7 linked regions of the Macaca fascicularis genome follow. Each later gene encodes a partner of the first gene's protein in a complex. Links are inferred from orthologs where the notes say so. Each region holds a gene or a part of one and is shown in the gene's direction. Other genes may lie near its edges.

Region 1 (3,500 bases):
CTTCTGCAAAATCAGGTGCACAGACAACTCCCACGGGAGCCTCGAGCCTGACAGAGGTACAGTGGGCATCCCCTGAGCATGAGTTGATTCCTGGTGGGCAGGATCAGGCTCCTAGACTGACTGGGGGGACTTTTCTTGTATCTCCCCAGGGAACAGAAGGCCAAGAGGAACAGCCAGTGGGTACCCACCCTGCCCAACAGCTCCCACCACCTGGATGCCGTGCCATGCTCCACGACCATCAACAGGAACCGCATGGGCCGGGACAAGAAGAGAACCTTCCCCCTTTGGTGCGGATGTGTCGCTGTGCTCACCCTCTGCCCTGATTCTCCCTTAGTTCTCCAGCACATTTCAGTCCCCTCCTCCCCAGAAAAACACTGCTTTGACCTTGTGCTCCCCACAATGCTACAGTACCTCCTCCTCTTTGAACCACTGTGTTTCCCTGACCTCCAGGACATTGTCTGTAGCCTCTTTGGCTCTGTCTGCTGTCACCTTGCCGTGTCCTCCTCACCTCTCTGGCCCCTCAAGTGGAGTTACTCGGGGCACGGTCCATGTGCCCTTTCTCTGCCCTCAGTTTCACACGAGTGGGTCATAGCCAGTCTGACGGTTCACGTGCCATCCACGTGACTCCCACTGCGCCACCACTTCCCAGAGGCTGCTGGAATAAACCACCACAAACTGGTGGCTGCCAGCAGTGCACAGTTCTTCCCTCACAGTTCGGGGGCCCAGGAGCCCAGATTTGGTTTCACTGGACCAGATGCATGTGTAGACAGGGCTGTGCTCCCTCCAGAGGCCCTCGGGGCGATTCGGTCCTTGCTGCTTCCGGCTTTGGGGGCTGCCACATTCCTGGGCTTGTGGCTGCCTCACTTCAGTCTCGGCCTCTGTGGTCATGTGGCCTTCTCTGCGTGAAATCTCCCTGTCTGTCTCTTAGAAGGACACTTGGTGATGTAATTTAGGGCCCTTCTGGTTAACCTCTCAGGATCTTTCACTTAATCGCATCTGCAAAGTCTCCTTTTTTGGCCATATGAGGTGACAGTTATAGGTTTTGGGGATTAGGCTGTAGATGTCTTCGGGGTCTGTTTTTTACCTCTGCAGCCCAGACTTCCTCAGCTGCCCTCACCCCCTCAGCCTCATGCTGCCTGAAGACTTCTCCATCTCGGCGCATGGAGATCCAGCCGTCTCCTTGCTCAGGCTGTAGCTTTCTTTCCCAAGGCCTGCCTTTTCCTCACACAGCAAGTCCAGTCTCTCCAAGGTCCCACCCAGGACTGCCTTGGCCAGCCCCGCACTGCTCTCCCTGGGGTCTCTAGCAGCCCCTGCCTCCCCTCCCTGTTGCCTTCTCAGCTCTGCAGCTGGTGTGTCCTCTGCTCCAGGCATATCGTGTCACCTCTCCACGCAAAATCCTCCAGGCTCCCCATCACCCTCGGAGCAGAAGGAGGAGTTCTCACTGGGGTGCCAGGCCCAACCTGGCCTGGTGCTGCCACTGCCACACTCTGCCCCACTCACTCTGCCTCAGACCTGAGATCGCCCTCACTGCTGTCAGACCTCCCAGAGCTTCTGCCCAGCAGTTGCCTCTGCTAAGGTTTAGCCCGTTCTCCTTCCTCCCCTCTTTCCTTTCTTCTTTCTTTCCTTCCTTCTTTCTTTCCTTCCATCATTTCTCCTTCCCTCCTTCCCATCCTTCCCCCTCCTCCTTTTCCTTCTCTCTTCCTTCCCTCCATCTCCTCTTCCCATCCCTAGTTGACTGTCCCCTTCTCCCTTAGAGTGGCCACCCCTTTCCTCCAGCACCCCTACCCCTTTCCCTGTCTGTTTCCCAGCGCATTCATGCCTGGCACTCAGCTCGTTTCTCTCTCTCTTCCATCTGCCTCCCAAGATCGCTGGGGCCCTTCTCAGCCCTCTCCATGCTCCCAGACGCCCTTAGGTGTCCTCTGTCCTCCAGCTCCATCTCACCAACCTGCCTGCCCAACTCTTCCCTCTTTATCTTCCCAAAATACTCAACTCCATTGCTTGGAATCCTCCTGGGACTCCCTCAGGGCAGTGGCCAGTTTGCGTAGCCTGAGAGGAGAACTGTGGGTGCTTCGACACCCGCTAGCTTTGCAGCATCCCTGACCACTGCCCCCCATGGAATCTGTGCTCTGTGGTCTGTTTGTGCGTCCTCAGCAGTTCCTCCATTCACCTGCTTTGGCCTTACTGGAATATATCCTCTTCTAGAAATGCTATTCTGCTTGCCTACAGCCTTCTGTGAAAGTCCTGCCAAATTTCAGGCTTAAATATCCCTTCACAGGACATCTGGGTTTTGTTCCAGCACTGCCCGGGTCGATCCTATTGCAGACAGACTGGTGCTTGTCATTTATGGACCCACCTGTCCCCATTAGACCATGGCCCTGGGACCCCTGCTGCCTCAGCTGTTAGCTGATAAGTGACCATGTTCCCCAGATGGGTTTGCAGAGGCCTGCTGTGCAGAGAGGGAGGCTGAAAATTTGCATGCCTAGGGCCCTGGCACCCTCACTGACTGTTGCTTCCATTTCACTTTCAGCTTTGATGACCACGACCCAGCTGTGATCCACGAGAATGCATCTCAGCCTGAGGTGCTGGTCCCCATCCGGCTGGACATGGAGATCGATGGGCAGAAACTGCGAGACGCCTTCACCTGGAACATGAATGGTACAAGGCAGTCGGGCTTGGCTGGGCCTGGCCCCAGCCCCTGTGTGTTACGTGGGAACAGTCCCCTTTCCTACCAGCTGCCTGTCAGGCAGATTCTGGACCTGACATGCGGGACATCGGGGCATAGTTTTGGAGGGTGTGGGCTCTGGGTTCAGCCCTGGTTCTGTTGCTGTTCACTGTGGGTTGGGCATGTGAACTTTGGACTCCTTTCCCCATACTGAGGTTGGGGGGCCCAAGGGGCCTGGCATGGGAGGTGGCTGGTGTGCATAGCATGGATGATGATGACAATGCCACTTAGACCTAGTTCAGCCCCCGAGCCCTGCACACACCTGCCTTGGGTCCTGTCCACCACCCTGTTTCTGCTGTGTGAGGCTGCATGTGTGCCCTGTGCCTCTCTCCTCCCCTAACTGGTCATCTCTTTAGATATCCTCACTCTGTAAGTCCTGGGTCAGGTGCCATCTCTTCTGGCTCTTCCTGGGCTTCCAAAGCCTGAACAGAACTCAGTCTTTGTGCAGATGTAGACAGAAAGGTTAGAAGGGTATGCATCCCAAGTGTCTAGACTGCTTATCCCATCTGGGAGGGAGGATCATGCATGCATTTATTTTGCTATTTTTTTCTAAGTCTGTTAGAATGTATTTTTGTTATTTTATTTTATTATTACTGTTTTTTTAGATCTTGTTGAATACCAGGTTTTTTTGTTTTTTGTTTTTTAACTTAGTGTCTGTATCCTGCTGAATTTTTATAATGAACATACTCTTTATATTAAGACAAAATGCAGTGAATATCATCTTTATTTTATTTTACCTATTTTATTTTGTTTTTTTTTAAGAGACAGAGTCTCACTC
Region 2 (3,500 bases), on another chromosome or scaffold:
GGCCAGGAGCGGTGGCTCACTCCTGTAATCCCAGCACTTTAGGAGGCTGAGGCGGGTGGATCACTTGAGGTCAGGAGATCAAGACCAGCCTGGCCAACATGGTGAAATCCCATCTCTACTAAAAATGCAAAAATTAGCTGGGCGTGGTGTCTGGCGCCTGTAATCCCAGCTACTTAGGAGGCTGAGGCACAAGAATCACTTGAACCCAACCCGGAAGGTGGAGGTTGCAGTGAGCCAAGATCACACCACTGCACTCCAGCCTGAGGGACAGAATAAGACTCTTGTCTTAAAAAAAAAAAAAAAAAGAAAAAAAAAAGAAAAAAAAGAAAAAAAAACTATTTTACCTCAGTTTAGCAAAAGGAAAAAAAAAATATTAGAAACCTTTTAGGTTATTCATTTAGTTCAGCATACTTGTGTATTTTCAGTATGTACTGAAGTACTTGTGTAGTTTCTGGAGAGAAGTTTGGAAGTTTCTATTGTTCTTGATTTCTAAACCAACTTTGGGCATTTCATTTCATTTCATTTCTTTTGAGTAGAAGGTATGTTTTCCCTTTCTTCACGTTTACCTTTTTAGGAATTTTCGTTAACATTGAAGTAATTATTAAATATAAGGGATGCCTACAAAAAAATAATGATCAGGCTGGGCACGGTGGCTCACACCTGTAATCCCAGCACTTTGGGAGGCCAAGGTGCGTGGATCACCTGAGGTCAGAAGTTTGAGACCAGCCTGGCCAACATGGTGAAACCCTGTCTCTACTAAAAATACAAAAATCAGCCAGGCATGGTGGCAGATTCCTGTAATCCCAGCTACTCTAGAGCCTGAGGCAGAAGAATCGCTTGAACCCAGGAGGTAGAGGTTGCAGTGAGCTGAGATCACACCACTGCACTCCAGCCAAGGCAACAGAGTGAGACCCTATCTCAAAAAAAATAAATAAATAAATGTATGATCAAATTTTTTAGTGCCTAGTAAAATGATACAAGAAATGTGCCTGGAAATATTCTGCAGTTAAAATTCATAATATTTGATAAATATTCAATATTTTGTGTTTTAATAAGTCTGTCAGATCTTAGAATTGAGGGAAATTTTGCCAACTTCCAATTCCAATTTCTGTCTCTCTGTACTTTAATTTTCAGCTCGAAGACGCGACGTCCATTTGTCAAAAGAACAGGAGAGCCGCCTACCCTCTCACTGGCTGAAAAGCAAAGGGGCCCACACCACCATGGCAGATGCCCTCTGGCGCCTTCGAGATTTGATGCTCCGGGACACCCTCAACATTCGCCAAGCATACAACCTAGAAAATGTTTAATCACATCATTACGTTTCTTTTATATAGAAGCATAAAGAGTTGTGGAACAGTAGCCATTTTAGTTACTGGGGGTGGGGGGAAGGAACAAAGGAGGATAATTTTTATTGCATTTTACTGTACATCACAAGGCCATTTTTATATAAGGACACTTTTAATAAGCTATTTCAATTTGTTTGTTATATTAAGTTGACTTTATCAAATACACAAAGATTTTTTTGCATATGTTTCCTTCGTTTAAAACCAGTTTCATAATTGGTTGTATATGTAGACTTGGAGTTTTATCTTTTTACTTGTTGCCATGGAACTGAAACCATTAGAGGTTTTGTCTTGGCTTGGGGTTTTTGTTTTTTTTGGTTTGGGGTTTTTTTTATATATATAAAAGAACAAAATGAAAAAAAAACACACACACAAGAGTTTACAGATTAGTTTAAATTGATAATGAAATGTGAAGTTTGTCCTAGTTTACATCTTAGAGAGGGGAGTATACTTGTGTTTGTTTCATGTGCCTGAATATCTTAAGCCACTTTCTGCAAAAGCTGTTTCTTACAGATGAAGTGCTTTCTTTGAAAGGTGGTTATTTAGGTTTTAGATGTTTAATAGACACGGCACATTTGCTCTATTAACTCAGAGGCTCACTACAGAAATATGTAATCAGTGCTGTGCATCTGTCTGCAGCTAATGTACCTCCTGGACACCAGGAGGGGAAAAAGCACTTTTTCGATTGTGCTGAGTTAGACATCTGTGAATTAGACTATGGTGTCAGTAATTTTTGCAGAACAAGTGCACAACCCTGAGGTATGTTTAGTCTAGGCAGGTACGTTTAAGGGTATTTTGATCTATTTATAATGAATTCACAATTTATGCCTATAAATTTCAGATGATTTAACATTTTAAACCTGTTACATTGAAAAACATTGAAGTTCATCTTGAAGAAAGCATTAAGGTATGCATGGAGGTGATTTATTTTTAAACATAACACCTAACCTAACATGGGGAAGAGAGTGTGTAACTAGATATGAGCTATGTAAGAAGCATAATTGTGAACGAGTAGATTGATTGCCTTCTACTTTATTTTTTACAAGTATGTTTTAGTATTCTTGATTTCCTCATTATCAGATGTATTTTTTTCTTTTAAGTTTCAATGTTGTTGTAGTTCTCAACCAGAAATTTAATACTTTCTAAAATATTTTTTAAATTTAGCTTGTGCTTTTGAATGACAGGAGAAGGGAATCATAATTTAATAAAATGCTCACTAGAAAGACCATTACAGATGCCAAACACTTGGGTTTGGTGACCCTGTCTTTCTTATATGACCCTATAATAAACATTTGAAGGCAGCATAGGATGGCAGACAGTAGGAACATTATTTCACTTGGCGGCATGTTTTTGAAACCTGCGTTATAGTAACTGGGTGATTGCCATTGTGGTAGAGCTTCCACTGATGTTTATAAGCTGAGAGAGTCACTCTCAGAGGATGCTTTTTTCCTTTTAATCTGCTATGAATCAGTACTCAGTTGTTTAATTACTGTACTTATTAAATCATGAGGGCAAAAGAGTGTAGAATGGAAAAAAGTCTCTTGTATCTAGATACTTTAAATACAGGAGGCCCTTTAACTTAATTGCCTTTAGTCAACCACTGGATTCAATTTGCATCAAGTATTTTAAATAATATTGAATTTAAAAAAAATGTATTGCAGTAGTGTGTCAATACCTTATTGTTAAAGTGAGTCAGATAAATCTTCAATTCCTGGTTATTTGGGCAACTGAATCATCATGGACTGTATAATGCAATCAGATTCTTTTGTTTCTAGACATCCTTGAATTACACCAAAGAACATGAAATTTAGTTGTGGTTAAATTATTTATTTATTTCATGCATTCATTTTATTTCCCTTAAAGTCTGGATGAGACTTCTTTGGGGAGCCTCTAAAAAAAACTCTTCACTGGGGGTCAAGTGGATCATTAGAAGCCAGAGCTCTCCTCCAGGCTCCTTCCCAGTGCCTAGAGGTGCTATAGGAAACATAGATCCAGCCAGGGGCTTCCCTAAAGCAGTGCAGCACTGGCCCAGGGCACCACTAGACAGGCCCTAATTAAGTTTTTTTTTAAAAAAGCCTATGTATTTATTTTAGAATCATGTTTTTCTGTATATTAACTTGGGAGATATCCATTAATATTTAGGATATAAGATTTGAG
Region 3 (4,276 bases), on another chromosome or scaffold:
TAGAACTTGATTCTGCTTATTAAATAGGCAGAGAGGAGTTAAAGATTTCAAATCTATTACAAACAGTTATTCAGTCACTTTCTGTTTATCTGTAAATCTAATAGCGTATGTAGTTGAACTCTTGAAATTCTGGAATGTTTATTTTATTTTATTCATTGTCTTGAGAGGAGCAAAAGGAAGCGAGAGGGCATAGCTTTGAACTGGCAATTTGGCAACTTCTCTCCCCTTGCCACCCCTCCCCCACTATCTTAGCTATTTGACCTGATTAAACAGCTTTGGAATGGTAGCCAGACTTCTGTATGCTAACGAGGCCCCTACCCTATTCTCGATTTAATGCGGTTTCATCCACGCAGAGCTTCCCGGTGCCCAGTGGAAGCCTGACTTCGCAGAAGTCTCCCAATTTTGTCAGGGGCTCGCCAGTGAAGAGTTCACACTGACTTGAAGCAGACACAGACTCTTTGGACGCCTCGGGTCACATCGGATTATTCACTAGCAAATTCTTTCCACCTTCTAAGTAGTGAAAGGTGACGTCAGAATCGCGTGTGCCACTCCTCTAAAGGGACTCTGACAACACCCAGTCCAGGCTCTACGACTTCTGCCTAGGCACTTGCTTCCTAGTAGTAGAAAGTTTCCAAAGGTTGCCTCAAGTCCTCCCTACCTCTAAGCCTAAAGGTCAGAGCTCCAGGTCGCACCACCGAGCAGGAATCTGAGCATTTTGGAAGTTTCTGGTGTAGGGAGCAGAACAGAAGGGGTGGTAGCGGCGGACCGCGCAGAGTAACCCCCCTGCACTACGTAAAGAAAGCCCTGGCTGCAGGAGGGAGTGAGCCTGACATTGAGGCATTCCAGGGGGAGGGTGAGTTGCTGTCCTGGAGTCGCCAGGAACAGCAGCGGCAGTTCCAAGAAGCGAGAGAGGAAGGTGGCGGAGATAAAGAGAACACTTCGGGAATAAGAATATTAAAAAGCAGCAGGACCCAGAGCATTAGCAAACGGCAAAGCACACGAAGTAATTTGTTACACGAAGCGGCAGCCTTCCAACTTTTGTACTGAAACACGGGGATTTACCCTTTGGGGGATTAAAAATGTTGATATGCAAAGCCAAAAGCTAATGAATAGGATTCAGTGGCTTGCTGGCAATATTGAAATATTTCTGTCCAGGAGCGCAAACTCTGCAGTTATTTAGAAAAGTAGGGAGTTGAACCAAACTATAATATTCTCCCGTGCGTCTCCACTTTCCCCAGCCCGAAAAGGAGCTGCCAACGCGGTACTTCCCCTTTAAGACCTGCTGGCTCTCGGGCTCTACAAAAGGGAGTGACCTCTGGGCTTTGACAGCTCCCCTAATAACTACCACCGAGCAGGCCCCGCCCACCTGGCGACCAGCCGCGCCGATTGGCCGGCGGGCCGGTATCCCGCGCTCTGATTGGCCTGTCGCTTCCCCTGAGCGAACCTTTAGAACTCTGAGACAGACAATATTCTGTTACATTGTAGCAAAATGGCGACTGTCATTCACAACCCCCTGAAAGCGTAAGTAAGACTAAAAAATGTACATATTCCGCGTGGTTTCAATATGAAAAAAAAGGCGCCTTCTGCGTGGCGAGCGCTGCCAGTGCTTGCGCTTGCAGGCGCCTCCAGCCGCGGCGGGGCTTCTCTCTTCTTTCAGCTCTTACTTCTTTTTTTTCCCCCAACGCGCAGAAATGTCAGGAGATGCAATTAACAAGAAGAAAATTGTTACATTTGTGTTCTGCTAAATTGCAGAGAGAGCGAGAGATAGGGGTTGCCGGCGGAGGAGCCCGGCGCTCGAGCGCTCTACAGCAGGGGGGTCGCGGGAGCTCGGGGACAGCGCGGTCCCTGGAGTCCCCCGCCTCGCGGGCAGGGAGCGAGGCTCCGGGGGCGGCCGGGCGGGGGGCGAGCGTCGGGCCGGGACTGCCTCGGTGCACTTGGCCGAGCCCTGCACCCCCAAGCCCGCGGCCCCCGCCCCGCCGCTGGGTCTGCTGGGTCCGGCGGACGCACCGCGGAGGCTCCGGAGTTTGCAGGGCGCTCTTCGCCTTCCGATCGCTCGCGGGGAGTTTGTGCAAACCTTCCGGAGTTGGGAGCACCGCGGGGGAAGCAGCGGGTCCCGGGCGCGCTGGGTCCCAGGTGGTCGCCCCGGGCTTTCCCCGGCAGCCCCCGGATCTCGGAGGCGCTCCGGGCGACCGCGCGTGTGTCTGCTCGTGTGTTTGCGAGCAACCTGGCTGTAGTGGATTAACGACTCGGGTTAACTTGGGGTGGATTTGGAGGCAGGGAAGCCGCAGGTCTTATGAATGGTGTTCTCGCCACCTCTGGGTGAGGCGCCGAGGCAGGCGGAGAGGCGGTTTTGGGGCTCCTGGCCCGAGGGGGCAGCGTCTGCTCCCGGCCGGGCGAGGGGCAGGTGCCTCTGGCCGCCCCGGGGAGACTTTGAGCGCTTGTCCAGATCCTGGACAGAGTGGGGCGGGCCGGACGAGCACTCGCGGGGGCCAGCCCCGGGTCCAACAGCCAATTTCTGCCTGCCTGCCTGCCTTCCTCCTCCTTTTCATCCTGGCTTCCTTCCTTCCTTCCTTCCAGTCGGTGGAACTGTTAAGCCGCCAAGTCCGCTCGCGATCGCGGAGCCAAGGGTGGCCTCGGAAAACTAGTGTCGCTCTGAAAGGGGTGCTATTGGGTGATGTCGGCAGAGGGTGGCTCCCTCCGTATTCGAGGTGGGCTGGGGGTCCGCACCCCTTCGACCGGGACTTCCCCGCCCGGACGAAGCCGCAGGCAAAGAGGGGGAGAGGGAGGTGCGGGCCGGGTAGGGGGCGGTTCGTGCCGAATTCTCCCTGGTGCGTGGCCACTGTCGACCCTGCTTCTTTTAATTCAGCGCATTCTCGTCTTCACCCCTCGCCACTCCTGGAGTTGAAAACCAGGTTCGCTCCCGGAGACGGTAGGGGGGTTCCTAACGCAAAGGAATGCACAGGGAGAATCAGACGTGTTTGCACCAGCTCGTCGCCCACCAGAAATAGGGAAACGGGTAGGAATGCCCCAGGTTTCAAAGATATTTATATGAAAGCTGCCGTTAAGAGGACGTTGGAAGCTGAGGCTGAGCAGATAGGAGCTCCCGGCTTCAGTTCTGCCTCGGAAGCTCGGATACACTGCACTTGAACGCCACAGCGTTTCATCCAAGAAAGAAAATGTTTTATGGCAGAATAAATGGGCGTAACTTCGCCGCATCCTCGCTGCCGGTTGCTTTCGCTGCAACACCGCTGATGCTGTCTCTACCGAACCCACAACTGATTTGCAGTTTCCCCATATCCAGCCGAAATCACATAACCAGGCTGATGCCACCTGGTAAACTCAAGTTAGAGAATCTATTTCACATGTGCACCAGGTTTGTTTCCTACTGGGAAAGCCGTACCCTAGTTACCCGGGAGCCCGCTTTCGCGCGGGCGGGCGCAGTATCTCTAAGCTTCAGTGTTCCCCTGCTCGCTCCAGGGTTTTTTTGGATCACAGTAGGGTGCGCGTTTGGGGAGGGAGTCTGTGTAGGGTGGGGTTAAGGGTGGGGGAAGGGACAGACGGGGGGGAAAGAAGGTGGCGGAATCCCGGCTGGTTAGGGGAATTAGTTCTGAATTGTACTTTGTATAATTAGAAACAGTTGCAATGTGATGTATTTGTAATTGTGCCGCCACACGCATGCACACACTAGCATACACACAACGCCCCTGCTTGCTTTTTCTAGGTGGGAGTTGAGTGGTCATTTATAATTAGCCATTCCTTTCTGCTTCCCAGACCCTTTCCCTGGGGGTAAAGGGGTGTAAACAATACCCCTGACCAGCCCAGCCTCTCACACCCTGGACAGTTTTTAACTCCTAATGCAGGAGCACACACGTTGTTATTGGGAGACGGACACCATCTGCCTTTTTTTTTTTTTTTAAACAACTTGTTTAATAAAACATCTTATATATTTCATTTGTTTTTAAAAGTTGCTGATCAGGAAACAATACAAACGTGAATAAATTATGCATGGGATAAATTAGAACAAAGTGCAGAGACACATCCAGCCGAAGGGATGGTGGTGGTGCAGGGAGGAGGGGTAGCGGAGAGAATGGTTTGGAGAGCTATGTTTTTATCCTCATGTGTCCCTCCTGACAATGAAACAGAGCTGAATGACATTAGCATTTTCTCTGTGTGCGTTCTGAGTCTCTCTCTTCCCTCCAAAAAAAAAAAAAAAAAAAAAAAAAAAAAAAAAAAAGCCAACACCACGGACGCCCCCTACAGAAAATGGTCACACAAA
Region 4 (3,982 bases), on another chromosome or scaffold:
CAACAAAGGTCCAAAACAGAATCCCCATCACGAACAATGCTTTAGAGAGAGAGCAGAGTCAAAATTCAAGATAAACTGGAACTTATTATAAAATCTGGAAGCAGGCTGGCACGGTGGCTCACGCCTGTAATCCCAACACTTTGGGAGGCTGAGACGGGCGGATCACTTGAGGCCAGGAGTTCGAGACCAGCCTACGCAACATAATGAAACCCCCATCCCTATTTTTTAATATTAAAAAAAAATCTGAGGCCAGGCACAATGGCTCACACCTGTAATCCCAGCATTTTGGGAGGCTGAGGCGCGCAGACCACTTGAGCTTAGGAGTTTGAAACCAACATGGGCAACATGGTGAAACCCTGTCTCTACCAAAAATACAAAACAGCCTGGCATGGTGGTGCATGCCTGTGATCCCAGCTACTCGGGAGGCTGAGGTGGGAGGATCACTTGAGCTTGGGAGGCGGAGGTTGCAGTGAGCTGAGATGGTGCCACTGTGACAAAGACAGACCTCATGTCGAAAAAATAATAATAATAATAATCCGGAAGCAGGTTAGGTCGGAGACAAAGTTAGGTTGAAGTTCCCACGTGAGGTAGTTATTGAGGCACTTTATCTGTGGAATGAGTCCTGGGCTATGAGCAAGAAGACCTGGAATCTTGGCTTCGGCTTTATGACTAACTTGCTGGTTGACCTTTGCCAAGTCGTTCACCTGTGAGTTCAGCTTTCCTATTTGGAAAATGGAATAAACTGTGTTTCCCTCCTCAGCCCCTGATAGTTATAGCAGTAAGAAAATGAAACGAAAAGCAATCAAAGCGTTTTGGGAAGTTAATGCCATGCGCCAAGATGAAGCTATTACTCCAAGCACCTCATCATCAGCGGGCTGGAGTCGGGGTTGAGACTGGGGCTGAGGCTGTGGTCCGTCCCCCTTTCCAGGTCCTTGTCTACCTCCCGTCGGCCTGGGGGCGCCCACTCACGGGGCCTCTCTATCCCAGAGTTCTTCTCTATGGTTTTCCCTCCAGGACCGTGAAGGCGGGAGGGCGTGGCCAGCACGCCTTTTCCGCTACTCGCTCCTCTCTAGGCGACAGTCTCGCTGCCCTGAGCCTCCCGTGCCGGCCAGCCGGCCGGGGGAACAGGCGGGCGCTCGGGGGGCGCTCAGGGGGCGGGGGGAGTTCCGGTTCCGGTTCTTTGTGCAGCTGCATCGGCGGCTCCGGGAAGATGGCGGCCCGGGCGGGTTTCCAGTCTGTGGCTCCGAGCGGCGGCGCCGGAGCCTCGGGAGGGGCGGGCGCGGCTGCTGCCCTGGGCCCGGGCGGAACTCCGGGGCCTCCCGTGCGAATGGGCCCGGCTCCGGGTCAAGGGCTGTACCGCTCCCCGATGCCCGGAGCGGCCTATCCGGTGAGTGGGGCAGGAGGAGGGACGCGCGGGCCGGGGGCGGGGCCGAGCGGGGACGTGGGAGTGACAGGGGTGGGGGGAGAAGTAGGAGGGACTCCCTTGGGAGGGGTTCGGGCTCTGGGTGGGGGCTGGGGGAGGCAGTGCGCAGGAAGAGAGGGGGAGGCAGTTGGTGTCCACACCAGCTCCTAGGGGCATTGTTTCCGTGGGGAGTCGGTAGAGAACCAGGGTGGGTGAAGTGGGTCCAGGGATACCTATACGAGGGCCGGAGTGCAGAGGGGCTTGAGCAGCTCCATTGATCAAAGGAACACAGAACGTGTAGCTGACAAATTGAGGTCAGCTTCTAAAGAGATAGTAGCTAGCAGAGTAAATGTGGAACTGGCGATGTCCGATGTGTCCGATCCAAAATAGACCGATAATTTGAGTATAATCTGGCTCTCGCTTAGCTTTTGGACTCTTATTTTTCTGTGGAGTCACTGCTGGAGCAGAGGGTTCTCGTCTCATTGTCCTCCATTCCATCCGTAAACCTTACTTCATTCAAAGAACTCAGGCGTTCCCTGCTTTTCTTTCTTGGTGGGGTTTAGCAGGTGAAACCATGACATCTCTGGGTCCTCTCCCCTCTGTAGAGACCAGGTATGTTGCCAGGCAGCCGAATGACACCTCAGGGACCTTCCATGGGACCCCCTGGCTATGGGGGGAACCCTTCAGTCCGACCTGGCCTGGCCCAGTCAGGGATGGATCAGTCCCGCAAGAGACCTGCCCCTCAGCAGATCCAGCAGGTCCAGCAGCAGGCTGTCCAAAATCGAAACCACAAGTAAGATGATCCTGGGGCAGAGGGAGGGAGGGAGGGAGCCTGGGAGTACACAGGTGGTGGGATTACCTGAACCAAGAAGTGGTGGTGCTGTGTCAGCAGATGGTGCTACAGGATGATTGAGAATGCTTGGTGGTGGTGGTGGTGGTGGTGGTGGTGGTGGTGGTGGTAGTTCTTTGAGAGCAGCTTTGCAATCCCTTCACATTACTATAAATGGACATGCTGACAGCTTATTTTCACGTTCTGACTAGTTCTGTCCCAACCTGATAATAGTGTTTATTCCCAACAGTGCAAAGAAAAAGAAGATGGCTGACAAAATTCTACCTCAAAGGGTGAGTCCAGGCTATCTGTTTTCTGGAAAGTGTGGTAGGTTTGAGTATAGAGATGAATCATCCTAGATTTCAATTAATTTTTCTGTTCCTAAGATTCGTGAACTGGTACCAGAATCCCAGGCCTATATGGATCTCTTGGCTTTTGAAAGGAAACTGGACCAGACTATCATGAGGAAACGACTAGATATCCAAGAGGCCTTGAAACGTCCCATCAAGGTAACACAGGAAGTTACTAAGCAGAGAGCCAAAGGAGAGGACCCAGGAACCTTCAGCAGGCTTAGGATGAGAAATCAAAGGCACAGCACAACTCTCCTTGGCATTTAAATTGTATCTTTCCCTTCCGCCTACAAACTGAGAATTACATTAGGAGGATAAGAACAGAATGGCAAAGGGGGAGGGGCTCTTGATGTCTCTTGCACTACAAATATACCCTTGTCCATGTTTTTGCTGTAACTGCTCTGCTACCTTGGGAACCTGGCACCTTGCGTGACTTTGTCCACCTGGCATCCCACTGTATGCACTTGTACTTAGGCTGATGGCCAGTACTCCTCTTCTAAATGGAATCTTCATCCACCCACCCAAGGGACTGGGTAGACAGTAAGCCAGTCTGTTAGGAATAATTTTGGGGTTTGGGGAGACTCTTGTCTTCAACATTAGACCACTGAAGCCCCACGATCAATCCTGTTTCTGCCTTCCTCAGCAAAAACGGAAGCTGCGAATTTTCATTTCTAACACTTTCAATCCGGCTAAGTCAGATGCCGAGGATGGGGAAGGGACGGTGGCTTCCTGGGAGCTTCGGGTAGAAGGACGGCTCCTGGAGGATGTGAGTTCAAGGTCCACAGTGGTTGGCATCTAGGGTGGGAGCTGCTGGGAATGAACAGTGTTGTCTGGTCAGCAGGAAGCCTAACTGGTGCTCACAGCTCCTTTTGGGAGCAGTAGGGAGAGGGACACTGTTCCCTGCACTGAAAGACAATGGTCCTTTGTGTTTGCCCCCACACCTTTGGCCTTCACTGGTATCATGTGGAGAACCTTATTGTCCTGGGATCTGATTTGTGATTTACCTTCCTCTTGGTGCTGCTGGCCATTGGATTTAGCCGTATCTGTAGATTATTTAGTTTTTGTTTTGTTTTGTTTTTAGTCGAGTTTGCACTTCATTTGAGGCCGTGTTTCCTCTCTGAGTTCTTGTGGTATCTCCATCTTCTCAACTTTCATTGGAGGCACCCCATAGTTTAAGTAGGATAGATTTCTCTTGACAGGCTCTTTGTTGCTTCCTGGGGAGCATCAGCTGACAGGTGATAGCCCCCAAACTTCCCAACCCAGAAGCTCCTCGGGGAAGCTCACCTTTCTCTCATTCCCTTACATTCTCTTGCTCTATTTTTAGCTGCTCGCAGGAAGCTAATTGGAATGCACTTTTGCAGGAGAACCAGGGCTCAGTGTCAGAGCCTCCTTCTCTATATA
Region 5 (3,983 bases), on another chromosome or scaffold:
ATTCCCAGAGCAGAACGACCCTAGCCACCCGGGTCTTGTGTGCTACTGAGTGGACAGACCCGAGGCAAGAAAGGGTGACAAGGAGAGGGTCTTCCCAGGCTGGCTTTGAGCTCCTACCCCACCCCGCCCCCAATCCTCTCTGGCACATGGTGTCTTGGTCCCCAGAGTCCCCCCGCGGCCTCCAGATGGTCTGGGAGGGCAGTTCAGCTGTGGCTGCGCATAGCAGACATGCAATGAACGGTGGGCGCAGACCCAGGCTGTGTAGACCCAGCCCCCACACCCCGCAGTGCCTGGAGCTGCCTGGGTCACCCACTAACGCCCCAGGCCTGGTCTTGGCTGGGCGTGACCGCGTTACCCTCAGAAGCAGCAGCTCCTGGGGAAACTTTCCCTGCCCCGTAGAGCCCACCTTCCCAGGGCCGTGGCTGGGTGGGTTTGCAGCTTTCATCACAGGCCACCTCAAGCCACTGGACCGCTGGCGCCTGCCCTGTCCTGGGCAGTGTGGTCCTGCGACTTCTAAGTGGCCGCGAGCCCCCTGACTCCCCCAACACCACACTCTACCTCTCAAGCCCAAGTCTCTCCCTAGTGACCCACCCAGCCCATTTAGCTAGCTGAGCCCCATAATAGCCAGAGGTCCCGAGACCTGCTTTCAGGGCAGTTGCTCTGAAGTCGGCAAGGGGGAGTGACTGCCTGGCCACTCCATGCCCTTCAAGGGCTCCTTCTGCAGGAGCGCACAGCACCCAGGACCCTGGCACCCGTGCAGACCCTGGCCCACCCCACCTGGGCGCTCAGTGCCCAAGAGACGTCCACACCTAGAATGTCCCGCGGTGGGTGGGGGGCCCGAGAGACGGGCAGGCCGGGGACAGGCCTGGCCATGCGGGGCCGAACCGGGCACTGCCCAGCGTGGGGTGCGGGGGCCACCGCGCGCGCCCCCAACCCCCGGGCCCAGCACCCCAAGGCGGCCAACGCCAAAACTCTCCCTCCTCCTCTTCCTCAATCTCGCTCTCGCTCTTTTTTTTTTTTCGCAAAAGGAGGGGAGAGGGGGTAAAAAAATGCTGCACTGTGCGGCGAGGCCGGTGAGTGAGCGGCGCGGGGCCAATCAGCGCGCGCCGTTCCGAAAGTTGCCTTTTATGGCTCGAGCGGCCGCGGCGGCGCCCTATAAAACCCGGCGGCGCGACGCGCCTCCACCGCCGAGACCGCGTCCGCCCCGCGAGCACAGAGCCTCGCCTTTGCCGCTCCGCCGCCCGTTCACACCCGCCGCCAGGTAAGCCCGGCCAGCCGACCCTGGTAGGCGGCTCCCGGCTCGGCTGCCTAAGGCCGCGGCCCCTTCGCCTGTGTAGAGCCGCCTGCGCCGCAGCGGGGGTCGCATGTGGGGACTGGACTGCAGTGGGGGACGCGGGAGAAGCCCCTGGGCCTCCAGAGATGTGGGGACACCCCGCTCCAGTTTGGAGGCGCGGGCCCTGCTCGGGAGGCGCGCTCTGGGGGTGCTGCTCTCGGGATGGGGGCAGCCGGCGGGGTCTTTGTCCGAGCCGGCTTCTTGCCAGTGGGAACTGCAGGGTGGGCGCGGCGGAGCCCCCCCGCCAGGCTCGGTGGGGGGCTGGGGCGCCATTGCGCGTGCGTCCTGGGGCTTGGGGCGCTAACTCTGCGTGCGCGCTGGGAATCGGCGCTAGTTGCGCGTGCGCGCTGGGACTCAAGGCGCTAACTGCGCGTGCGTTCTGGGGCCCGGGTGCCGCGGCCTGGGCTGGGGCAAGGGCTGGCCCCGCCGGAAGGGGTGGGGTCGCGGAGGCTCCAGGGCGCTTGCGCGCACTTCCTGCCCGCGCCGCCGGCCGCCTGAGGGTGTGGCCGCCGCGCGCGCGCGCGCGCCGACCCGGCGCTATTTGAACGGAGCGGAGGCGGGGCCGGCTCCCGGTTGGGAGGGGGTGGGGGCCTGGCTTCCTGCCGCGCGCGGTGGGGACGCCTCCGACCAGTGTTTGCCTTTTATGGTAATAACGCGGCCGGCCCGGCTTCCTTTGTCCCCAATCTGGGCGCGCGCCTGCGCCCCCTGGCGGCCTAAGGCCTCGGCGCGCCGGAAGTGGGCAGGGCGGGGGCCACCTCGGCTCACAGCGCGCCCGGCTTTCCCGCAGCTCGCCATGGATGATGATATCGCCGCGCTCGTTGTCGACAATGGCTCCGGCATGTGCAAGGCCGGCTTCGCGGGCGACGATGCCCCCCGGGCCGTCTTCCCCTCCATCGTGGGGCGCCCCAGGCACCAGGTAGGGGAGCTGGGTGGGTGGGGCGGCCCCGGGAGCGGGCGGGAGGCGAGGGCGCTTTCTCTGCACTGGGGTCTCCCGGTTTCTGGGGTGGGGGCCGCGCCCGTGCTTAGGGCGCCTTGTTTTTTCTTTCCTAGGGCGTGATGGTGGGCATGGGTCAGAAGGATTCATATGTGGGCGACGAGGCCCAGAGCAAGAGAGGCATTCTCACCCTGAAGTACCCCATCGAGCACGGCATCGTCACCAACTGGGACGACATGGAGAAGATCTGGCACCACACCTTCTACAATGAGCTGCGTGTGGCTCCTGAGGAGCACCCCGTGCTGCTGACCGAGGCCCCCCTGAACCCCAAGGCCAACCGCGAGAAGATGACCCAGGTAAGTGGCCCGCTACCTCTTGTGGTGGCCACCGCCCTCTTTCCTGGTCTCCCGGAGCTGCGCCCTTTCTCACTGGTTCTCTCTTCTGCCGTTCTCCGTAGGACTCTCTTCTCTGACCTGAGTCTCCTTTGGAACTCTGCAGGTTCTATTTGCTTTTTCCCAGATGAGCTCTTTTTCTGGTGTTTGCCTCTCTGACTAGGTGTCTAAAACAGACAGTGCTGTGGGTGTAGGTACTAACACTGGCTCGTGTGACAAGCCCATGAGGCTGGTGTAAAGCGGCCTTGGAGTGTGTATTCAGTAGGTGCACAGTAGGTCTGAACAGAATCCCCATCCCAAGACCCCAGCACACTTAGCAGTGTTCTTTGCACTTCCTGCATGTCCCCCATCTGGCCTGGCTGTCCCAGTAGCTTCCTGAGTATGACATGGTGCATTTCTTCCTTACAGATCATGTTTGAGACCTTCAACACCCCAGCCATGTACGTGGCCATCCAGGCTGTGCTGTCCCTGTACGCCTCTGGCCGTACCACTGGCATCGTGATGGACTCCGGTGACGGGGTCACCCACACTGTGCCCATCTACGAGGGGTATGCCCTCCCCCATGCCATCCTGCGTCTGGACCTGGCTGGCCGGGACCTGACTGACTACCTCATGAAGATCCTCACTGAGCGCGGCTACAGCTTCACCACCACGGCCGAGCGGGAAATCGTGCGTGACATTAAGGAGAAGCTGTGCTATGTCGCCCTAGACTTCGAGCAGGAGATGGCCACAGCGGCTTCCAGCTCCTCCCTGGAGAAGAGCTACGAGCTGCCCGATGGCCAGGTCATCACCATTGGCAACGAGCGGTTCCGCTGCCCTGAGGCTCTCTTCCAACCTTCCTTCCTGGGTGAGTGGAGACCCGCCTCCCGGCCCTGCCTGACCTGAGGGTCACCCTTGGGGCTGTGCTTTGGAAGCTAAGTCCGCCCTCATTTCTTCCTCAGGCATGGAGTCCTGTGGCATCCACGAAACTACCTTCAACTCCATCATGAAGTGTGACGTGGACATCCGTAAAGACCTGTACGCCAACACAGTGCTGTCTGGTGGCACCACCATGTACCCTGGCATTGCTGACAGGATGCAGAAGGAGATTACTGCCCTGGCGCCCAGCACGATGAAGATCAAGGTGGGTGTCCTTCCACCCTGAGCTGACCTGGGCAGGTGGGCCGTGGGGCCCTGTGGTGTGTGGGGAGCTGTCACATCCGGGGTTCTCACTGCCTGTTTGTTCCCTTCCTTCCTCAGATCATTGCTCCTCCTGAGCGCAAGTACTCTGTGTGGATCGGCGGCTCCATCCTGGCCTCGCTGTCCACCTTCCAGCAGATGTGGA
Region 6 (3,500 bases), on another chromosome or scaffold:
TTTTTGCGGTACCTTCCGTAGCCCCGAGGCTCGCAATGCCCTGTGCGGTGCCTGGCTTCAGTTAGCTTCCTACAGCCAGACGCCAAGCCCCTCCGCCAGAGCCGCGCGTATTCCGGCGCCCCTGCCCCTCCTACCCATCGTTCCCACCCATCGCTCAGCGCTCAGGGTCACCAGCCGAGGGTCTGGTGGGGGAGGGGAGACGCCGGCTCACCGCGCCTGGAGCTGGGGGCCCTGGTCTGACCCACGGGCGCCCGTTTCTGCTTCACCCCCGCCCACCCACAGCGCCCCGGGATGCCGTCTGGAGCCCGGATGCCCCACCAGGGGGCGCCCATGGGCCCCCCGGGCTCCCCCTACATGGGCAGCCCCGCCGTGCGACCCGGCCTGGCCCCCGCGGGCATGGAGCCCGCCCGTAAGCGAGCAGCGCCCCCGCCCGGGCAGAGCCAGGCACAGAGCCAGGGCCAGCCGGTGCCCACCGCCCCCGCGCGGAGCCGCAGGTGAGTGGGAGGCCCGGCGCGGAGTGGGCGTGCAGGGGCGGGCCCTGGGGACCCGCAGGGACCAGGTGAGAGAGTAGCGGGGATTGGAAGAGGTGAGGAAGAATGATTAGCAGGGAGCGAGGCTTCCCGGATCGGATGCCCTCTGGGGAGGTGGGCTTAGGGGGCACCGGCCTGATTCTTTTGTGTGCCCACGGTAGAGACAGGCTGTGGCCGTCGGCAGCCGGTACCGCTTCCCTGCACGCTCCCCTCACCCTTCTCCTTGTCACCTGCTCAGTCCCTCTCTCCACCCATCAGGTTCTGGGTGATGCTTAAGTCTTTGGGTTGGGGGCGGGGCTTCCAGTGGGACTGAGGGCAGAGCTGTAGGACTGTGTTGCCCAAAGTGTAGTTCTCCGCTGAGCCTTCCTGCCAGACCCCGGACTGTTTCAAAGCCACTCCAGATTTTCTCAATGGGACTCTCTGGCCCTGGGGGTGGAGCTTGGGGATTTGCCCTGTGGTAGGTGGTCTCTGCCCAGTTCCGCTCTTAATTCTTAGGCACTCTGGACCAGGTCTGCTCCCAAGCCACCAGGGCCAGCCCATTGCCTTATTTTCCTCCAGCAGCTGGTGGCACCCTCAAAGCCCCTGCTGGCTCCTGGCAACAGCAGTGCCCCTCTGGATTTCAGTATTTAGCCAAATACACATGCTTTTTTTGCACAACAGATGGATTTCTATAAAAGGTGTAATATCAATTTTACCTCATTATTAAGTATTTTTTACACATCAGGGAAAATTCACCACTTATAGGAATCCCATGATGAATTATTTTGTAAAGTGCATCGTCATTTTGTACAGCAAACGGTAATTCCCTGATTTATCTTGTATAAATGGAGAGTTACACAAAGATAATCTGTCTAAAACAAACCAGACCTTTAATGAAATCTGCTTGTTAGCCTTAGATTTCTGCATAGGGAGGGGGTAGTGGTTGAGAACACCACACGGGGGCAGTATGGAGCTATTCTCTAGGCTGCGTTTTCATCTCTTGACCCGCCAAGGTTTTTCTGGGGGTTTTTGGGTTAGTCAGCAGCAGCTAGTGGGTCAGAAAGAGCTCACATCCAGCTGCTACTACCCTGGGCCTAGTCAATTTGGCCTCAGCCTGAAGTCACACCCATGCACATTCTGGGCGCCTATGGCTGCAGCATGTCCCTCACCTTGTTGCCAGGTAGTCCCAGGGCATGAGTACCCCTGCTCATCAGCATTCTCTTGCAAGCCCAGGGTGCCTGGAAGGGATGCAAGTCCCGCCAGCTTCACACCATCACCTCCGCTCCATGGATAGGAAGGAAGTCGTCTATCTCCCTCCCTCTGAGCTTAGAATCCTTTGGACAGGGCACCCCCTGCTTTCCAGAAAAGGTCCTCAGACCTGGCTTCCCTCTCCTTTGTCCTCCCTCATCCCCACCTTTCCTCAAACACTTCTGCAGCTCCCATCTTTTGGCAGCACCACCCCCACTCGCCAGTCCCTCCTAAGTCTAAATTTCTCTGTCCCTAAGGATGTGGCAGGTTAGAAGGGGGCTCCCAGGCCAGAGAATGGACGGGTCACCCCTGTGTCCTTAGAGAGGACAGAGCACCAGTTCCACACACCACCGTCATAGCCCTTGGGCGGGCAGACAAGCGGGCTGTGGGAACCCCAGCCAGGCGGGCGGAGATGTCGGGATAATTTAGCAGGTGGCCTCGTTACTCCCAGATCTGTCGCCATGGTAACCTGGTTTTTTCTTTAAAAAATGTACAGTGCCAAGAGGAGGAAGATGGCTGACAAAATCCTCCCTCAAAGGGTGAGTGTCTTTCACAGCAGCCCCCAGCCCACCCCCTACCCTTTGCTGCTCTGCCCTCCCCTCCCCCCTCAAAAGCAGAGCTTCAGTGTCACAGTCACTTTCACTTTTTGTTTAAAAAAACTCATTAATAAGTGAGGCTCCCTAGGCCAGAGGGAGGGGGTGAGGTGGAGGGAAGCAGCAGAGCCACTGGGGCCAGAACACAGGGGCCTGTCAGGGGGCTGGATCCAAGTGGTACTAAGACAGAGTTGTGGGACAAGAAGGGGGCAAGAGCTAGGGGATCAAAAGCTGCCAGGCAGAATGAAGGGGATAGAAGGTGGCCAGAGATCCTGAGCATCCTAAAGGGACCCAGGTCCAGCTGGATATGGGGGACAGCACAGTTGGGACAGGTGTGGGGGCTGAGCAATGTGCCAGCAAAGAAGAAAGCACTGCTGTCCAACTGTCCCAGGGATTGAGCCCCTACTAGGCACTTTGCAGGGGCCCAGGGGAAGCCCAGTGGGCATATGACATAGAAAATGACAGGATGAGGAGACTAAAGGCTAGTGCTTTGCTGGGTTCCACAGTTGCTACCTCCTCCCCGTGATGATACACAAGGCTCTTCCTAAAGGGAGAAGCAATTGTTATCCCTACACAGCAAGGCCCCTACTGCTGGATAATGGCATCCTGGGGAGAGGTCCTGTTCCCACTGTCAAAGCTCCATGCCCAGAAGTAGGATGGCTCCCCCGACATCTTTTGCACCCTAGGATTGCACAACATGCATACATTCCATGGTACAACCCTGGACTCGAGCCTCTGACTCCTGCCCTGCTCCTCCTCCTCCAGATTCGGGAGCTGGTCCCCGAGTCCCAGGCTTACATGGACCTCTTGGCATTTGAGAGGAAACTGGATCAAACCATCATGCGGAAGCGGGTGGACATCCAGGAGGCTCTGAAGAGGCCCATGAAGGTGCCTTAGTTCGGGGGTAGGAAGGGGACTCTTGAGTCGCGTGACCAGGATGGGGAAGCAAGGTAGTCAGGGTGGAAGCACACAGCATTTGCCCGGTTCTACACTCTATTTCTACAGCAAAAGCGGAAGCTGCGTCTCTATATCTCCAACACTTTTAACCCTGCGAAGCCTGACGCTGAGGACTCCGATGGCAGCATTGCCTCCTGGGAGCTACGGGTGGAGGGGAAGCTCCTGGATGATGTACGTCCCGGCCCAGGTCTCT
Region 7 (3,459 bases), on another chromosome or scaffold:
GGCAGGGTGGGAATGAAGCAGAAATGAAACAATTCTAATTAAAATAATTATTTTCCCAGTTCATCTATGTGTGTGTGCGTGTGTGTGTGTACGTGTGTGTGTATGTATGTCCCCTTACCCCATTTCATTCTTGGCCCATGCTTGCTTTTACTTTTTTACCACTGTTATTTACTTATTCCTATAGCATGAGTGAACGTCATTTCATAACAGTCAAGGCCGTGACGTTCGGATGCCTTCCCTCCCCTGGTAATTTTAAGTGCAGTGAACCCTTTTTCCTTTGTCATTTCCATGGGTTACCAAATATGTCTAAAATTCAAACACTTTCACTGGACCATGCATGTTTTTAATCTGAAAGATGAGTAGTACTCAGAGGGTCTGTGTATTTTTTAAGTGACTACAGTTTTTTTTTGCTTGTCTGAAAACTTACTTTTCCCTTTTATAATTTTACGTTATTTTATAGTAAATGCTTCTAAGTATAGCTTCTTTTATTAGACATGCAAAGAGAATAATCACACAACTAAGTTTTCAACAAACATTTATGTACATGCCAATGTATGCATGAGACATCTTTCAATTAAAAATGTTTAAACTGATTTTTAAAAAAGTACCACTATACCAATGAAGATAAACTGATTTTTTAACTTATATTTTATAGATCTAGTTTTACAGTTTTGGAAAAGAGCAGTTTTTAAAATTAATACATAAGCTGTTTAAAATGGTCTTCTCTTTAGAGTAAGTCTCACATTAATGGTCATTTGCTACTTGGATTTTCTTGTCCAATTAATAGTGATATTTGGCATTGTATTTCGTCTTTCCTTCCATTCATTAAACAGATCTTACTGTGCATGTAGGGAGTATAGAATTCTACATTTAATCTTATGAGATCATGCTGTTTACAAAATTTTATGATGAAATTAATGCTTTCTTCAGTAAGCAATCTTACATTGCAGGCAGATTCCTGTCAAGTTTTGTCTTTCAAAATGGTCATTAGCAAGTTATCAAAAGTAAGAATAGGGCAATAAAGTAACAGAATTCCTTTTAAACCCATAGTAAGCTCTTCTGGCATGAATTTATAGCCCTCTTCTACCCTTCCAGCCAAAGGTCATTCCAAATGCTATATGTGGAATTTGTCTGAAGGGTAAGGAGTCCAACAAGAAAGGAAAGGCTGAATCACTTATACACTGCTCCCAATGTGAGAATAGTGGTAAGTATTGAAATGTCTTTTTAAAATTTTAACCACTGTATTTGTTGGTTCAAAAACTAGAATTTATAGTTTCAGGTAGATTTCAACCAGAGTCATCAAATAAATACACAGGGTAGATTGTGAGGCAGACACAGTCCATGTGTTTTCTTCTACATTGTATTTTCATTTCTCTTTGGTGATTTGACATTATAGCTATTCTCTGAAAGTCCTAAAGCAAACTAGCATTTTATGTGCCATATTAAGTTAAAAATTCTTATGTGAGATACTACTAATACTGGTTTTGATTTAGGCCATCCTTCTTGCCTGGATATGACAGTGGAGCTTGTTTCTATGATTAAGACCTACCCATGGCAGTGTATGGAATGTAAAACATGCATTATATGTGGACAACCCCACCATGAAGAAGAAATGATGTTCTGTGATGTGTGTGACAGAGGTTATCATACTTTTTGTGTGGGCCTTGGTGCTATTCCATCAGGTAAAGATTAAAAAAAGAACAAACTATCTTTGGGTGATAAGACTCTCCCAGCACTGCACTCCAAAAGGCTGCATAAACGTTATCATGACATGCAGAGCTTGTGGACTCCTATGTGCAAATATGACCAAAGCTATGATTATATGGGTCATGTCCACCAGCTTTTCATTCCCAGACAATTCCAACTAAAGGATAAATGAGAGGCCAGAATGCCCAGACTAAGTTTTGGAAGTACAGTTCTATATAATGAGCTGGTGTTTTTCTACTGAAATACTTAAGTAACAGCATCATCTTGTTTCAAAGCCTTTATTTTTATGTTATCTATTTAGAAACTTAACAAAATGACTACGTCTTTATACATTTCTATAGAAATCGATTACAGATTTCTGTAAATTGAGGCAGCATGACAATTCCAGGTAACTTTAGAACAGAGTTGAATAAATCACAGTAATTGGACTAAAACATTACACAGATAATTGTGTAATTTTAGAACTTACTTGCATAGTTAACACTGTATAATACTCTTATAAAATATATGCCTACAACGAAGTTTCCTGGGAATCATTAAGCAAGCAACATAATTATTTTTCTGTAGTAATTCAGATCAAGTATGTAGTACAATTTATCATTGTGCTGTTAGAAACTTAAAAGTTTTAAAGTGCTGTCAGCAGAGTACACCAGCACTTGAAAGAATGCTGTTAAGACACACAGCTGCCAGTGAGCAGGAGAGAAAAAGGCTTAAAAAAGCCAAATTCCAGAATGGGTTTTGAACTTTTGAAGTATGTATTGAACTTTAGAAGTATGATAGTGTTTGAATTTCAGGAAATACTGTACTTTTTTAAAGGTCTGTATCACTGTATGGCATTGCATCTCTCCCATCCCCCTTGACTTGCAATGAATTTTGCATGGCATTGATTACAAGTTTATATTTTTCTCCTTAAATTCAGGAACTCATAGTGCCCTTCTCACCACAAAATCCACAGAGGAATATCATTAGTGATAGCTAAGGAAGAAGAGTTTAGATGGGCTTAAAATTCAGTCCTGTAAAGATAATTTTTCATTCCATATTAACAATTTTTTTCCTAGGTCGCTGGATTTGTGACTGTTGTCAGCGGGCCCCCCCAACACCCAGGAAAGTGGGCAGAAGGGGGAAAAACAGCAAAGAGGGATAAAATAGTTTTTGACTCTAATACTGTGTATGCATTTAAGTGGAATATTTGGTGCCAATTTATTTACAACATTTTCATTTTTATGCCAATAAAAGATTTTTTTTTTGCAAATTATGAGCTTAAAATCTGCAGTTGATTTATTTCTGTTAAAAGCTACTCTTACCCTCCAAACTAATTCCAGGTAGAGAAATCATCTTCCCAAGTATTTTATAGTAACCCTGGCTCACTCCAAAAATTCAGTGGAAATGTTTAGCAACTTAAGATACTTAACTATTTCTCCATAGCCCCAAAAGTTAATTTTCATGAAACTTCCTAATCTACATTGTTTCTGGCCTACCATAGGTAGCATTAACAAAGTTATTTAATAACTAAAGAATTTTCATAGGTATGACAAATGGCCTAATAAGATTTGGTGCAGCTGGATTTAGAGTTGTCATTATTGGACTGGTACAGGAACACAGTTTGTAAATACCTGCCTGCCAGGAAATCACTTTTGTATAGAAAAGTACCATCCCTACTTGGGGTACAGGCACGAGGCTTTAGTCCAGGCTCAGGGAAGTGTACATAAATCATTTCCAACTTGATTTTAGTAACTCTTGAAAACGTACACC

The links.
Region 2: SMARCB1 (region 1) and PBRM1 share a complex: the UniProt entries of both Homo sapiens proteins name them as parts of the SWI/SNF-B (PBAF) chromatin remodeling complex. The link is inferred for Macaca fascicularis from reciprocal best matches to the Homo sapiens genes SMARCB1 and PBRM1.
Region 3: SMARCB1 (region 1) and DPF3 share a complex: the UniProt entries of both Homo sapiens proteins name them as parts of the BAF complex. The link is inferred for Macaca fascicularis from reciprocal best matches to the Homo sapiens genes SMARCB1 and DPF3.
Region 4: SMARCB1 (region 1) and SMARCD1 share a complex: the UniProt entries of both Homo sapiens proteins name them as parts of the BAF complex. The link is inferred for Macaca fascicularis from reciprocal best matches to the Homo sapiens genes SMARCB1 and SMARCD1.
Region 5: SMARCB1 (region 1) and ACTB share a complex: the UniProt entries of both Homo sapiens proteins name them as parts of the BAF complex. The link is inferred for Macaca fascicularis from reciprocal best matches to the Homo sapiens genes SMARCB1 and ACTB.
Region 6: SMARCB1 (region 1) and SMARCD3 share a complex: the UniProt entries of both Homo sapiens proteins name them as parts of the BAF complex. The link is inferred for Macaca fascicularis from reciprocal best matches to the Homo sapiens genes SMARCB1 and SMARCD3.
Region 7: SMARCB1 (region 1) and PHF10 share a complex: the UniProt entries of both Homo sapiens proteins name them as parts of the neural progenitors-specific chromatin remodeling complex. The link is inferred for Macaca fascicularis from reciprocal best matches to the Homo sapiens genes SMARCB1 and PHF10.

The regions. Positions count from the first base shown.
Region 1 is NC_088384.1:28,085,284-28,088,783, forward strand, and holds part of SMARCB1 (SWI/SNF-related matrix-associated actin-dependent regulator of chromatin subfamily B member 1), read left to right. Parts: intron 1-149; coding exon 150-287; intron 288-2,527; coding exon 2,528-2,655; intron 2,656-3,500.
Region 2 is NC_088376.1:115,641,265-115,644,764, reverse strand, and holds part of PBRM1 (protein polybromo-1), read left to right. Parts: intron 1-1,134; coding exon 1,135-1,307; 3' UTR 1,308-3,500. UniProt on the Homo sapiens protein: Involved in transcriptional activation and repression of select genes by chromatin remodeling (alteration of DNA-nucleosome topology). Required for the stability of the SWI/SNF chromatin remodeling complex SWI/SNF-B (PBAF).
Region 3 is NC_088381.1:140,763,275-140,767,550, reverse strand, and holds the start of DPF3 (zinc finger protein DPF3), read left to right. Parts: upstream 1-1,476; 5' UTR 1,477-1,489; coding exon 1,490-1,521; intron 1,522-1,527; exon of another isoform or gene 1,528-1,701; coding exon of another isoform or gene 1,702-2,110; intron 2,111-2,160; coding exon of another isoform or gene 2,161-2,234; exon of another isoform or gene 2,235-2,359; intron 2,360-4,276. Other genes in the region: uncharacterized protein, read left to right, coding at 1,702-2,110, 2,161-2,234. UniProt on the Homo sapiens protein: Belongs to the neuron-specific chromatin remodeling complex (nBAF complex).
Region 4 is NC_088385.1:56,915,038-56,919,019, forward strand, and holds the start of SMARCD1 (SWI/SNF-related matrix-associated actin-dependent regulator of chromatin subfamily D member 1), read left to right. Parts: upstream 1-1,182; 5' UTR 1,183-1,210; coding exon 1,211-1,387; intron 1,388-2,007; coding exon 2,008-2,195; intron 2,196-2,481; coding exon 2,482-2,524; intron 2,525-2,617; coding exon 2,618-2,740; intron 2,741-3,224; coding exon 3,225-3,347; intron 3,348-3,982. UniProt on the Homo sapiens protein: Involved in transcriptional activation and repression of select genes by chromatin remodeling (alteration of DNA-nucleosome topology).
Region 5 is NC_088377.1:45,109,538-45,113,520, reverse strand, and holds the start of ACTB (actin, cytoplasmic 1), read left to right. Parts: upstream 1-1,183; 5' UTR 1,184-1,261; intron 1,262-2,120; 5' UTR 2,121-2,126; coding exon 2,127-2,249; intron 2,250-2,383; coding exon 2,384-2,623; intron 2,624-3,067; coding exon 3,068-3,506; intron 3,507-3,600; coding exon 3,601-3,782; intron 3,783-3,898; coding exon 3,899-3,983. UniProt on the Homo sapiens protein: Actin is a highly conserved protein that polymerizes to produce filaments that form cross-linked networks in the cytoplasm of cells.
Region 6 is NC_088377.1:192,524,447-192,527,946, reverse strand, and holds part of SMARCD3 (SWI/SNF-related matrix-associated actin-dependent regulator of chromatin subfamily D member 3), read left to right. Parts: intron 1-282; coding exon 283-494; intron 495-2,253; coding exon 2,254-2,296; intron 2,297-3,115; coding exon 3,116-3,238; intron 3,239-3,355; coding exon 3,356-3,478; coding exon of another isoform or gene 3,479-3,494; intron 3,495-3,500. UniProt on the Homo sapiens protein: Involved in transcriptional activation and repression of select genes by chromatin remodeling (alteration of DNA-nucleosome topology).
Region 7 is NC_088378.1:1,329,202-1,332,660, forward strand, and holds the end of PHF10 (PHD finger protein 10), read left to right. Parts: intron 1-1,095; coding exon 1,096-1,204; intron 1,205-1,493; coding exon 1,494-1,682; intron 1,683-1,971; exon of another isoform or gene 1,972-2,765; coding exon 2,766-2,851; 3' UTR 2,852-2,959; downstream 2,960-3,459. UniProt on the Homo sapiens protein: Involved in transcription activity regulation by chromatin remodeling. Belongs to the neural progenitors-specific chromatin remodeling complex (npBAF complex) and is required for the proliferation of neural progenitors.